Linked DNA regions of Alligator mississippiensis. The protein of the gene in region 1 interacts with the protein of each later gene in a pairwise test. Links are inferred from orthologs where the notes say so. Each region holds a gene or a part of one and is shown in the gene's direction. Other genes may lie near its edges.

What was found.
Region 2: the proteins of STAM2 (region 1) and ARRDC3 interact in binary tests that used the Homo sapiens proteins (3 or more experiments, as listed by UniProt). The two-hybrid records come from large-scale screens. The link is inferred for Alligator mississippiensis from reciprocal best matches to the Homo sapiens genes STAM2 and ARRDC3.

What each region holds. Positions count from the first base shown.
Region 1 is NC_081827.1:226,524,948-226,532,353, forward strand, and holds the start of STAM2 (signal transducing adapter molecule 2), read left to right. Parts: upstream 1-4,322; 5' UTR 4,323-4,420; coding exon 4,421-4,460; intron 4,461-7,406.
Region 2 is NC_081826.1:242,390,667-242,398,320, forward strand, and holds the start of ARRDC3 (arrestin domain-containing protein 3), read left to right. Parts: upstream 1-4,437; 5' UTR 4,438-4,701; coding exon 4,702-4,981; intron 4,982-7,654. UniProt on the Homo sapiens protein: Adapter protein that plays a role in regulating cell-surface expression of adrenergic receptors and probably also other G protein-coupled receptors.

The sequences.
Region 1 (7,406 bases):
TCCCAGCAGATGTCCGGGTAATTTAGATCACCCATGACAACTACATCCCTTGCCTTAAGTGCCTCTGCAAGCTGGCCCAAAAATTCCCGGTCCAGCTCCACCCCTTGGTTGGGGGGTCTGTAGTAGACCCCCACCGTTAAATCCCTCTCCCCAAGACACCCTTGTATATTGATGATTATGATTAAATTATGTAACACTGTACACCTTCGGCAGTGTATTTCTTGATGATTATGATTAAATTCTGTAACACTGTACACCTTCGGCAGTGTATTTCTTTTTAAATTATGTTTAAAAAACATAGAGGGAAGCTCTGGGCCTCCTGCAGCTCAGGGGCTGCACAACCCGATGGCAGCTTGCGCGGGTAGGCTCTGCTAAGACAAAAGAAAAAAGCAGCAGTAATGAGCCTGATCTTTTTTTTTTTGCTCCCAGAGACTGCCTGCAGTCTTCTGTGGCCAGGGAGTGAGCTGCTGGTGGGCTGTGCAGCCCGAGTTGTGGGGGGACCCTGGTGCTTCTTTCCGTGGTGGCAGCACCCCCCGGGACAACCCAAGTGGGGTGCTAGTACATGGGTGCTGCCTGGGGGGCCCTGCCACCACAGAGGGAAGCACCAGGGCCCACTGCAGCTCAAGGCTCACTGGCCATAGTAGAGGCAAGAAGGCTCCAGAAAAGAAAAAAAAAAGATTGGGCTCCTCACTGCTTTTTTTTTTTTCCTCTAGCGGAGCCTGCCCTCTCTGTGGCAAGGGTGTGTGTGTGTTATGGAGCTGACGGGGCTGTCACTGCTGTCATGGTGACGGAAGTCCCTAAATTGAAACAGTGGGTTTTAATCAACACAAAACCCCACCAATTCAAAACCGGCCATTTCAATTTAGGAAGAACTAAACTCCCAGCACGTGAACAAATGGCCACAGAGATTAAGTGGAAGGAAGGGGTGGGGGTGAACCAACCATGGAACAAGGAAATCAAGAGGAAGGGACCTCAACTAGGATGCACTAGCAGACACACAAAAGGTAAGAGAGAAAAAGATGGCAGGAGGAAGGTGAAGGAAGGGAAAATGGGCAGGTATCCCTGGATCCCCTTCCCAGTCTAGTAATGATGTAGGGGCTCTGTTCTACACAGCAGGTACAATCATCTTTCCATTGCATCCATTAATCTCTCAAAAACCTTTTCATGATATTTTCTTCTAACTCTAAGAAATATATACAATTGTATCTTGTTCATTGCACAGTTCATAGATGGAAAACAAGGAAATAAATGTGTTTATTAGATCTTTAATAAGGAAGTGACCTACTGTGAAGAGAGAGATTGAATTATACAAGGTGCTACATGTATTGTATTAAATCAGTAACCAAAGTGTTAATTGTTTAAATATATTCAACTTTTATTTTGCCTTCCAATCATGGATCACCAATTCTTATACATTAATAAGGCACATAAGCTAGACTACAGTCCACCTGAGATGCTATATTCTTATTTGTTAGAAGAGCTTCATTACAGAAAAAAATATTCACAAACTTATCTTGTTATGACTTGTATAAAGTATGTTTAATTAGAAAAGCTCTCAGAATTGCTGGCTCTCAGTGCTATATTGACTCTCTTACTTCCTGTGACCCCTTGTTTGTGAAAGCTAATTATTTTTTTAAAGAAACACCAGTTTGCACACTGTCATTGTCTGGTACACAAAAGTCTTTTTTCACTAATGAGGGTTAAGTGGCTTAATAAATTTCTTACAGTCAACAGAAAAACTTGTAAAAAAAAATCCTCCTGTCCAGAGAGATTTAGAGAAAATTCTTTTAATAAGTCTGCAATATGGATTCAATTACTATTGTACAGAAAACTCACTACAAACTACAGTGCTAGATACAAGAAAAAATCATAACTAATAGAAATATGTATTTCATTCAACATTGAAGCTTTCCAAGTATACCATTTTAATGTGTTAAAGATACTGTTACAGGGTGGTGTCTTTTGGGTGTTTTAACTGAATAACATAAGTCATGAAATATAACATCATTGTAATAAATCAAGTTATATAAAGGCATCATATTATGCATAAAATACTGATTGCAAAATCATCCCACTGTTTCATGTGTCATTTGCTCTTCATAAAAGAGCATAAACCATTCCTATGAAGTTGTTAAAATGTGGGTCAGTTCAGTTCAAGCCTTAAAAAGCTGTCATAAATCCCACACCTGTCTGACTTTTTCCATCATTGTTACAAAGGACACCTGTTACAAGAACTGAGAGAAGAAAACTAAATGTTTATCTGGTGTGTTTATGGCCCTATCTAGTTATACTCAAGGTGTAATTAACCAAGTAATCAAGCAAGTTGTGAGCTGGCTACATGTTCCACCAATTAATGGCATGATAAAACAGGCAATAAGCTACAAAGTTATTCCACAAAAAATATGGAGTAATATAGATTGTTCTTATGGTGCCATTGTTTAAGGAGAGGGGCAGGTGTTCACAGCACTTCTTATGGAGCAACTGTCACTGTTTATCCTATTTAATCACCTGTTCTGTTTGCCGGCATCTACTGTAGACATGGCAGAAAGAAAATATCCTAAAACGTAGTGGAATGAAAATTGGCAGAGGAACTGAGGGGGAGCGGGAGTAGTTCCTAAAATCTATCAGGTCATCTTTAAGCATAATTAGATGTAGCTTCAAGTGCCTGGTGTCCCTCTGGTGTTATGAAAATACCTTAGGACAATTATGAAATCCATCTAAAATGAAGCACACTGAAACGATCCCTCATACTGCTGGTTATGGGACAAGCTGAAAACACTTGAAGAAGCCGATCTTGATCTCACAGTCTAGTACAAAGATGCGGGGAACAGAAATGGTCACACGTAGATACTCTCCTGGGGTTGGGGCAGTGTTTCCAGGCTGTCCAGGGCCCTGCTTGGCACCAGGCTTCTGAGCTTAAGTCCCCCACACAAAGGGCTGAGCTGCTTCCCGCGCAGGCAGGGGTCTGGGGAGGGAGATGAGCACGTCGGTGCCCACTGCCCAGATGCCACCGCTGTTCTGGCAATCAGGACTTGTGGTAGAGATGCTCTCTTTTATTAGACCAACAAGATTTTTGCAAAATCTTGTTGGTCTAATAAAATGCCCGCTGTTCTGGGCATTTGAGGGAGCCCGTGAGTGCCTGGCGCCTCCTGAATCTGGGGGTGCACCCGCAGATTTTGCAAAAATCTTGTTGGTTTAAGAAGAGAGATCATCTCTACTATAAGTCCTGAGTGCCTTTTCTTCTAGACCAATACGGCTACAACCTGGATACCCGGCACACAAAAGATATCAAATTTTAGCTGATTTCTGAAATGAAATCTTCGTACTTTCCCAAGTAGGAAGCAACTGTGACCGCCTGAAACTGCAGATCCTGCTCTTGCCTTTGTTTCAAGGTAATCTGCATCAGCACAGACCCCGACAGGAGGTGAGGCTCCTTACCAGCTATGAACCGACTGCCCAGACGAGTTTTGCATCTATCGACTCCTCTGTGAAATCCTATGAAATATGAATTTTCAATTCTACCCAGGGGAACTTTATTTTTTCTCCACTGCCTGATGAAGGGTGTCTGGGCCCAAAAGCTGGCCATTAACGAATTTATTTTATTTTTTTTCAAAAATCTTGTTGGTTTCATTAATCAAAGATATCACCTCTGTCCACGAGCCCCGATCGCCTTTTCCTCTACACCAACATGGCTACAACCTGGATGCCCGACCGCTGTTCTGGGCACTTGAGGGAGCCCGTGAGTGCCTGGCGCCTCCTGAATCTGGGGGTGCACCCGCAGAAACCGCCGACGGCAACGGCCCGGGGGGGAGGGGGGGGCACGTGCACCCCCTACCAGTCGCCTATGGAGAAGCCTCTCCCGCCACTCAGACGAGCCCCCATCGCGACCGGCCCGCGGCTGGCTCCACCCCGCCCCGCCCCGCCCCGCCCACCAAACACGTCAGAGGCCGCAGAGACGCAGCGAGGCCCCGTGGGGCTTGGCTGCCCCCTGCGGGCCGCGCTGAGAACATCCCGCTGTCTACGGCCCCTGGCCAGACCCCGCCGCCTACAGCCTTGCCTTCGCTCCAGCCCCGCCCCCGAGTGCGCGGGGTGGGCGTGGTCGCGTGCAAGCGGCGCTGGTCTCTCCTCCTCCGCTCTGAGGCCCCCGGGGTCTAAGCCGGTGCCTGACTCTATTGCCCCGCTCCGAGAAGCCGCCCGGCAGGTGCAGGGCCCCGGGTGGGGGCTCCTCCGGCCGCAGGGGGAAGGTGGTTCTTTTCCGCGGGTCCCCGTGTTTTGGGTCAGGCGCGGCGCGGACGCGAGCGGCGGGGCCTGCGCGGCGGCGGCCGGAGCCGGAAGCGGAAGCGGGCGCGGGGAGGGGCCCGGCCGCGGGGAGCGAGCCGCAGCCGCCTCGGGCTCCGCCATCGTCGTCGCTGTCGTCGTCATGCCGCTGTTCACCCCCAACCCCTTCGAGCAGGATGTGGGTGAGTGCGCGGGGCCGGGGCCTGTCTCCGTGGGCCGGGCCTGAGGGGGGCTGCCAGGGCGGGGAGTGGAGGAGCGGCTCCCTCCTGCCCTGTCACGGCAGCGGCTCCCAGGCCGGGGCGCTCCTTCCCTGCGGCCGCCCTCCTCCAGGCGGGGGCTTGTCGGGATGCCGCGGGAGGCGAGCGCTGCCTCGGATAAACACGGCTCTGAAGTCGGGGCCACGCACGTCCCTGAAGTGGCGGAGGGCGGCGGGTGCTTGGAGGCCAGGGAGGGTTGAGACCCGCTGCTGCCTCCTCTCCCCGTTCCCTCTTGCGCAATACCGGGCGGACTGTAGGTCATCTGTCCTGTCTTGCGGGCGTTTATCCTCTCATCTGTTTTTGTAGTTCAGGTTCCTGCTGTTTGGGAAGACACACAGGTTTTTAATGAGAGGTGTTGCTATCGTCGGGTGTTCTAATGATTGTAACATCTGTTTCCATAGAGCTGCACAGCAGTTAAACGCCGACCTGCAACCGTGTCTGCTGCAAGCAGGTTTTCACACCAATTGCCTTGTTTCTCTCTGTAGCATGTAGTGGGCTGAATTGCCTAAATTGGGGGTGTCAGATAGAGGGGCACTGATATATCGGTCCATATCAGATCGGCATTGATAAAAGGAAAATTGATATTATCAGCAACCGCCTTTTTAGTCGGTGTAGTTGGTGGCATCGCCGATAAATGCCACGTGAGCAGCCAGGAATGCAGCCTGGCAGCTTGGAGACCAGCGCCCAGTGGGTAAGTGTAGGGGGATAGGGTGAGGGGGCAAAACAAGCAGCATCTGGGGGGAAGGGGTGTGGGGGAGAGAACGGGGGTGGGGGGGGAAAGCGAGGCCCCCATGATGAGGGAGGGAGTGGGCAGGCGCAGGGCGTGGGACAGAGCCAAGGGGGGCATGGGGTGGGGGGGGGCAGTTCCCAGCCACTTTGCTCACCCACGGGGGAGGCATGGGAGGGGCATGTACTCTCCGGATTTGTGTGTGGGGTGAGGGCGGGCTGCCTGCTGTGGGCTCGGGGCTGGGAGCTACTGGGAAGAGGCCAGTGCAGCCTCGGGCCCTGAGCACACAGTGGGCAGCCTGCCCTCGCCCCATGCACAGATCTGAAGGGCACGAGCTCCCCATGCCTCCCCCAGGGATGTGCACAGTGGTGGGGAGCTGCCCACCCCTTCTGTGGCCTCTCCCCACCCTCCCACCCCCCCAGATTTGCTGCCCACAGCTCTGTCCTATGCCCCACTCCACCCTAGCTGGTCAGTGCCTGCCCCTGCCCCAGCCCAATTCTTTCCCACATCATGGGGGCCTTGATCTCCCTCCCCCATGCTCTCTTCCTCCCACAGACTTACTGGCTGGACACTGGTCTCCAAGCTGCTGGGGTACGTATTGGCATTCAGAGCAGTATCGGCCAACGTGGCTGGTTAAGAATTGGCTGTTGGTATTGGGCAAAAAAATCTTTATTGGTGCATCCCTAGTGTCAAATGTATAACCTGTGGGCTGGATCTGGCATGAGATCAGCTGTATCTGGGCAGGCCTGCAGGGAGATCCATGCTCTGAATCCAGCTCGGGCCCCAGGTAAGTTTGGCAGTCCTGGCTTAAATTTCTTGCAGAGTCAAAAGAGTCACTCCTAGCTGGTCACAGTTTTGAAGTCTGATCATTTTGATACTGTAAGAGGAAAGTTTTGGGAGTTTAGACCCACATGGACTATATTTAAACCCTGAATACTACAGAAGTTATTGGTATTCAGGTTGTAGCTGTATTGGTCTGGAGGAAAAGGCAGTCGGGACTGGTAGTAGAGGTGATATCTTTTATTAAACCAACAAGATTTTTGCGAAAGAAGTCTTTAATTGCAAGCTTTCAGGCACAAACACTCTTGATCAGGCATTGGAGAAAAGATTGTAAAAGTTCTCCTGGGTAGAAATGAAAGCTCATATTTCATAGGATTTCACAGAGGAGTCAATAGATGGAAAACTCTGGGCAGTCAGTTCACAGGAGTTATTGTACCTTAGAAGTGAAATGTCATTTATTATAGGAAACTAAGCTTTGAGGCTTTTTTCTTTTTAAATTACTACTGCGTATGTTTCTGTCTGAACATCATTTCACTGGCTTATGCATTAGTTCCTGAGCTTGGCGTAGTCTGTGTTTAAAACCTTTCTAGTTGATACGCTACCTTTTTTTAGATGACATGACTCGTAACAAGTGTTATGCTCTTATGCATCTTACTTGCTTAGTCAAACTTTTGGGAGTTGCTTATTTTATAGTCAGCAGATTAAGAAAAAGTTCCATGGCTAGAGTCTAAAATACTTGATATCTTAAGGACTTAAAGCTTTGGTAGCTTTTTTTGTTTGTTTTTTTTGTGGGGTTTTTTTTTTTTTAAACAAGACGTACAGCTAGCTAGCAATCTGATCTGAAAGATACAGGATTTGCTTGGTTTACAAATCTAAATGGATTTAAGTCAGTGTACTTTGTATTTCCTCTCTGGAGGCCTAGGGTGACATCTTGACCAAAATGAAGACAGTAGGACCAGGGTTTCACTCCTTGTAAAACATCAGCTGGAAATTAATTTTATGGCATCAGATTAATCCTTGGCTGACATCTGTCTATTACAAAAATTACCAGGCAGTCTTGACAATGAGGATGGTGTTGACTCTGGGCCTCTGTGTGCTATATTTGCCTGTATAGCCTACGGATCATGCCTTCACTATCCTGAATACTGACCTTGTAGTTTTAAATACCTGTTTTAAATTAATCAGCACTGTACATTTAATTGGAAAATGTTTAACATAAAAACAATTTTTAAGTTGGCAATTTTAACAGAAAGCAGAGTTAAGCATTCTTGGGATTTTTGTCAATCCTAAAATATTATGGGCTGTTCTAACAAAAACATTTGCTTGTGCTTTTACTTAAACTAGCACAGATGTGCAGTGCTTAG
Region 2 (7,654 bases), on another chromosome or scaffold:
CAGAAACTAGAGCAGCCGATTGGACAAAATAAGGGAACTGGAGTGGCACTCACGAAGGTATGGGGTTAATTTGTTAAGGCTGAAAAACCTCCAAAAAGGTTGGCCCCTACTCTTCTAAATCATTTTAGAAATTTCTCATTCAAGCCAGTAGGGAGGTCCCTATGTCCACTGAGAATCCACGTACATAAACTGTCTTCTAGCATAAGAGCCCTGTAGACTTTACTAGGTCATAGGCTGCTTAATAGTGAAGTGAGACAGCCATCATATTTGCTTGCAGCTCTCTTTTTAGAGTTAAGATAAAAGAGGAATAAGTGAAAGAAGTGATAATCAGTGAAAAAAACCCTTAGGAGAGAAAGCTCCAGAACACAGGGGGGAAACAAGTGATGCTAGGTAGGCCACCAAAGGGACACTTTGAGCTAGCCATGTGGTTTGGTACTGGTTAGATCTGGTTTTGCTACAGAAATGGCTTTATACTTTCAACTAAGATAGATCTATTTCCTGGACCATTACATAATCGAATAAATAGCATAATAAGCAAATTTACATATCTGATAGTTTTATCTATGATGTCTTTATTTGTTAAGCTTTTTAAAGCTGGCTAAAAATTAGGGATAAAAAGCCCAGCTTTGCCTCAGAAGCTCACTCTTCAGCCAGGAGCCCTGATCTTTGCTGAATTGCTCATTTGTGAATAAACCAAGATCAGCTCTTCTGCAAAATATAGTCTCTGGAACCTAGGTAAGAAATTATTTTCCCTGAAAGGCTGGCCACCTGTTAGAGATGTTGAAGACTACGATTCGGTGATTTTAAGATTGATTCCTTTCAGCACGTAAGCTCAGTTTCCTCCTCTGCCTAAAGTGCATCCTTCTATTTCCCTAAAAGTAGAGAAGGGAAGAGGGAGACCCAGGTTCAGTACCCCTTTTGATGGAAGAAATTCAAATCCACACCTCTGACATCCCTGGAGTATGACATAATCTCCAGGCTGTGGAATATTCTGCATGAAAAGCACTCTCAAACCCTCCACTTGAAGCTGGTGCACAGTACAGAAAAAGAATGCAAGATTCACTGAGTCAGAAAGAGACTAATTCATGTGCATATGAATGAGGGATTATTGCTTAGTTTAGTGATTAGAGAAGGGGGAAATCATGTGTTCCATCCCTGCTCCTGATACTGGTTTTATATTTTACATTATCTAGTCATTACACAAAATATAGATCAAGAATCACATAGCATTTCCTACTTCCCCAGAACTTTCTCAACTCAAGTGAGTAAAATAGATTGAAACTCAAGAGGAGATTCTATTAAACACAATTAACACAGTTTAAATCCTAATTTTCATAGCCAGAAAGAATTGAAAATACCTTATATTTAAAAATGCTCATCTGTGTTACACAATTCCACGAGGCTAGTGTGAGATAATGCACTACAATGATAGTGCAGATCTTAAGAGGTAGTATGTTGACTTCAAAACAAAATCCCAGTATTTTTCAATGGGCATGTCATCCCACATTTGTAATCTTACATTGAAAAGACACTGGATAAACTTTTCAAAAGTATTTAGCTGGTTTAGGATACTAAGGCTCATTGAAATAAATGGGACTTAGACTGCTAAGTCACTTTTAGGTGCTTTAGAATATTTTGCCCTGTGTCAAACAGCTTAAATTAGGATCTTCTATTTTTGTAAGGGATGGGGGACAAGGAAGTTATTTAGTATGAACAGTAATGATTTAACATCTAATAACCAGGTGTTAAAAAATTAAAAGCAAAGATATATGTGATGAAGGTCAGGAAAGGAAGGTGGTTGTCCAGAGGTCTCACATTGAAAACACTCAGAAGAGAATTTTAACCAGTTCTAGGTGCTATTTGATGAAAGATTTGTAAAGCTGTGTCTGGAAAGGGCAAGAGAGTATGATTAATAGACGGCAGGTTTAAAAAACAGGTGAGAGAGCAAAAGGCTGGCAGGAGAGACAGTTCTTCACATTAACCACAAGATGGCATAGAACATTTGAATGATCAGTTCAGAAAAGAAATAGCATATTACAAAGACAAGAAACAATTATAATTTATGCCAACAAAAACTATGAATGACTTATTAAAAAACCCATAAAAATAATAATAAAAAGTGTACATACATCTACACACCCACAAAACGTCCCAAGCAAAGCTCCTAGTCTGAACTTTATTTCCTATACATAATAAAATGAATCAAAGACCAAAATGACAGCATGCAGTCATCTGCTTAACACTAAAAATGTAAATGATATGTTGCATCTATAAAATGCAACATATCTGTATGATAAGTGAGAGACTGGCTGGATGGAAGCAAGCGTGGGTATGAGCAGGCAGGAGGTGGGAACGGCAGAGTGGAAAGTTTGGGTGGGATATTCTGCAGGAGAGGTGCAGACATGACTGGGCAAATGGTAGGACCACCTAGAACAGTGGTCCTCAGCTTCCAACCTATGATCCAAGTCCAGCCCACAGGGCCATGTCATCCAGCCTACTGGGCTCCCCACAGGTCTGGAAATTCGGGGCGAGGCAGCAGTAGTGTTAATTGCTGCTTCCAGAACACCAGCAGAAAAAGGACAATACAGGCTAAACTATATTAAGTTTTATGTCAGATCTCTCTAGAATGAAGCATCCAGGTGGGATAATATTTGCCTGGCCCAGCTGGTCTTCAACAACTGTCCTAACATACATGCCAGACCCACAAATGAGACTCTTTAGATCAAAATACCCTGTAAACAGTGTCACTCTTCCTTCTCCTTCTTTCCACATGGGAGAGGCGAGATATGCCCACTGAAGGCATTTGCTGCCTATGTAGGTGGTAGGTGGGGTGAGAGCAAACACACTAAACATCAAAAAAGGGTTGATAGTTTCTCTTTTGCAGAGTAAGTTCCTCATATTTACCACAGGGTGGTGCAAAAACATAAAAAAGTATCAACAGATCAGAAGGCAAGAACAGAAGATGGCCCAGGCAAAAATGTATGAGAGCTTCCACCAGGTGTCGACTCAGGCAAAACATGAATGACCTGAGAAGAGTCATAAAGCTACCAAGTGAGTCTGCTTTTCTAAACTTTGCTTTAGAAACATACCTCTCTAAGTAGAGCTAATATACCTGTCAACCCATATTAGCCTTTCTAACATGAACTGTTTAAATTATATAACTATTGCAATAATTATTTTACTGAACGTGGAATTTAATAAACATGGAAAGAGAAACGTAGCCATAAATTGTTTAATCTGGAGAGCATGGTCAAGCAATGACCGTGTACCAATGAACATGTAGATGAACTGTGTAACAGATGCATTTGAAATATCACTGTAAAGAACATCTCTTTGGTGGTGAAGGTGTTTTGCACAGAGCTTTTAGAAAGACTATGTGCCTAATATGCTCCAGTGTCTGGTTGTTTTTTTTTTCTCTTAGAATCCATTTAGCACATCTCTTTTGAATTTATGCGGGCTATTTTGAAAGGATTTGCTTGATTCCAAATAGCAGTACTTAAAGGTATTCTTCTATCTCCCTCTAAATTGCACTAAATCTTATGGAATCAGAAAAAAAGGAGAAAACTATCTGTGAAATATATACATTCATTCCGAGCTGTTTTGGGGAGGTTTTACTTGCTTGCCTGTTTTAACACAGGTAACCCAGAAAACAAAAATGCTAACTATCTGAATAAAAATGGTAGGTGGGGTCTGTAATTGAGCTAATGAAATATAAATGGGAAGCCAGGTGCTCCTCTCCTTTTAGAAACTCTTTCTCCTGGTGAATTCAGAGGTTGGTAGGAACAGCTGACACAAATCTTCAGCAGACATAACTGAAATATGTGGATTCTCCCAGTCTCCAAAACCGGTTTGAACCGAACAAAAGAGGGTTTTCTCTGCCTTTGGTGAAGTTCATCCCACCCTCTGGCTGGGGATAAACTAGTCCTGCCAAGATCGACTTCTATTTCTGGCTCATTAAGATACTTCTGAAGAGCAAATATTTTGCCTTTTGGAATGCACCAGATTGTGCTTGAAGCAGATGAACCATCCAAAATCTCTTCTCCCGAATAAAAGGCAGATTCCTCAGTTCATTTCTCTCCCAACTCTTCAAGCCTCTTCCAGCAGCATTCAGAAGCAAATGCTTCGGGCTCGAGGCTGTGTCCTTAGTCAGCTGTAAGGGCTCTGGCATTAGACCACTCTCCTTCCTCCTTCCGCTGCATTTATAATGCTGCATTCCTGCCATTAGAAGCTTTGGGGTGCTGGCCTAGAGGGGCACGTTTGAAAGAGTTTAGGGGGGCGATCACTGCAAGAGACACACAATGGAGAGCAGACCCAGGTCCTCTTCCACAGCACGGTCGCCTTCTGTGTTACACCTCCTGTAGCAGTGAGACAGAAGGGAAGCAGCAGCCGCCCGCACATGCGCAGTGGGGTTGTTTTTCACAAAGCTGGTCTTAAAGTGAGCTGGCAGTCCGCAGCCTCCCTGTCTTTGTACAGAGACCTCAGAGCTGGGTAGTAGCTGAACAGCCACTAGTGCTGTGACTTTTCCAGCAAGCCCAATGAAGCGTTTGTAGAGCAGACACTGGTCCTGCCTGCAAGCTTTTTTGCACGGCAGAGGCTTTGAACAGTGTCAAGTGAAGATCCCATTTTATATGAGATCTTGACTTTGATTTTGGGGGTTTTTTTCTTACAGTATATTTTTATAGACTTTGTTATAAAAAAAAAATGGTGCTGGGGAAGGTGAAGAGTTTGACAATAAGCTTTGACTGTCTCAATGACAGCAACGTCCCCGTCTATTCTAGCGGGGACACAGTCTCAGGAAGGGTCAGTTTAGAAGTTACTGGGGAAATTCGAGTGAAATCTCTTAAAATTCACGCAAGAGGACATGCAAAAGTGCGCTGGACTGAATCTAGAAATGCTGGATCCAACACTGCCTATACACAGAATTACACTGAAGAAGTAGAATATTTCAACCATAAGGACATCTTAATTGGGCACGAGAGAGGTAAGTTGTTTTTTTTTTTTCATTTTAATTCGGGAGTCAAAATCCTACACAGTCATTTTTGATGCAAGCAGGCATGCACATCTTCGCATCCTCTTGGCTTGAACAGTCTTTGGAGGGGGGCTGGTTATTATATCCATTAAAAACCACAACATACAAGGATGTGAAAATGTACTACATCTCTTAGGGGCTGTAGGTTTTGATGATATGGACATTGATGGTGGGTCAGACTTTATCTGCAAAGTGCCTGCAAAACAGGACTTTCTCCAACAACCTGCCTTTAACAGAGCTTCTTGCAGAGGCACTTCCAATTTTATGATTATTTTAAGTGTGTCAGAAAAAAACTGTGCTATAGCTAGACATGAGCAGGGTTGTGTTCCGTATTGCACTGAGAACTGGGGGGCCAAGCCAGGTAGTTAATGCTTTTAAGTGACTTTTTTGTAACTTCTCATCAAATGTTGAGATGCAAGACAGAATCAGGCTTTTAGACGTCTATGGATATAACTCCTATTTTTCAAATCGATTATGCGAGGCCTTTCGAAGGATGGATAATTGTTGGCAGATAAAGGATTCCCTGTGGCTTATTTTGACATACACTCTCAGCACTCCACGTGTGGCTTCTTCTTCTCCCACCTCCCCCAGTAAGTTAATAAATCACCTGAATGTCTTTTATACGCCACATCTGTCAGAGAGGCAGGTATAAAGGTCTGCCTGCAAGCCTCCTTTGAGTCCCTGAAGTGCCCAACTGGAGCATCATGCCTAAGTTGGGGAGTTCAGGGAAGCTGCATTCATTGAAACCTGCTGTGCCAGCCACGTACAGTGCAAAATAGATTCCTATCAAATAATGGGGGGGAAAAAAGGGGGAATCAAGCCTTGGCAAGGGGGCAGCGGGTCTTCAGATGGCTAATCTATTGTTTGAATGGTGACATGGTAGAAGTATAGGGGACTCTTGGCTTGTTTTTCTGAAGTTTCCACCCTTTGTTAGAAGCGGTTCAATCCTGTTTGGGACCAGTCCTGGCGAGAGGGAGGGGGTGCGAGCTCTCCTCTCCGCAGATTGGTTACACGCGTCAGGTGGTGGCGATGACTTAATTCCTAGCACAAGAAAATAATGTTAAAACTGGTTATGTAATTTTCTTTTTTCTTCCCCCCCCCCCTTGTTCCCTTTCACTTATTCTGCATATATATAAATAAGTGCTGCAGAGACCAGTGCGGGAGCTGAGGGGGGGGGTCCCCTTTCCCCCCTTACAAAACCATCTCATTCAAGGGGAACTTAGGGGGTTGCGCTGGCAAAGGCTTTTGGAATAAATGGAAGGATTTTTTTTTTTTATTTTTTTTTTTAATGTTCACAAAATGAGCGGGTTGCGAGGCCTGAGGTAAAATGATGGGGTCCCTCCCCAGGCAGAGTTCGTGCCCTCTCCCCACCCCCTCTGCGGATGCCGGGCGGCAAGGGGCCTGTGTCCCTCCCTCCACAGCCCAGGGGATGACTGCAGGAGGCGACTCGGGGCGCCCCCCGGGACAGGGAGCGAACAAAGGGGCCGGTTGGTGGGTGGGTGGGTGCGCGGGTCGGCGGTGGCGGCCGCACCCCACACAGCCGCTGCGGCCACCGGGCAGCCCGGGTGCCCACTACTCTGCCCCACGCCGGTCACACCAGCTCAGTACCCCAGCCCCGCCCCGCGCCGCCGCCATTGGCCCGGCGCCGTTTGTTAGCCTGTTGCTAAGGCGATGCCCGCCGCTGATTGGCGCGGGGCGCAGTGGGGGCGGGGCAGGTCCCGGTTCCTGGAGTCCAGCGTGCGCCGCTGCGGGTTTGGGGGGGGGTTGGGGATCGAGAACCCCTTTCCCCCGGCAGCGGGGGCCCGATCCTCCTCGCCTTGCCCTACGGCCGGGGGCAGGATCGGGCCCGTGTGCTGTGGGGCTGGGGGGGCTGCAGCCCGGAAGCCCCGAGAGAAGCCGTGGGGAGGTGGCGGGTGCCGCCCCTCCCGCCCGCCAGGGTAGGCTGCGCGCCTGCGCTCGCGTGTGCTGTGCCGTGCCGTGCGCCTGCGAGCGCCGGGCGCGCCGGCTGGTTGGGGCTCTGCTCGCGCCGGTTTAGGCCGGTCCTCTCCTGCTCCAGTCTGGTCTGTGATTGACAGCTCAGCACTTGTTTACCACAGCGCCGCCGACGCCCCGGCTCCCGGGGACTGCTGAGCTGGCAGAAAGCGGCCGGGCGGCCGGGGGGGGAGGCATGGAGTTTAGGGCGAGGAGAAGAGGAGGGTCCCCGGCCTGCCGTGGGGTCCAGTCACCTGCCCAGCCCCATCTCCTCCGCCATTCCTGGCCCCTGACGGGGGTTCGCAGCCTTGCCCCTTCTCGGAGGGTGGGGGGGAAGCAAACCCTGCACCAACCCCCACCGAAATATTACCCTCCCCCTTTTTCTTGTTTGGTCTCCCCTTCGGTGCTTCAGGCGGTGGGGAAGTGCCCGATTTTTTTCCCTGCCTCCAGTTATTTTGCCACTTCCAGCATCTCCACTTGACCCGACTTGGGTCCTCCCCAGCGCCAGGGTCGCAAGCCACCCGGGTCGTTTCAGCCTCTCCGTGCCCAGGCAGGGTTGGGAGGGAACAAAGAAGGGCAACTTGTTTGTGGGCACCGGGAAACTTCCCAGGCGGCGGCTGGGCAGGACGGAGCCATGCAACTGCAGAGCTTTTG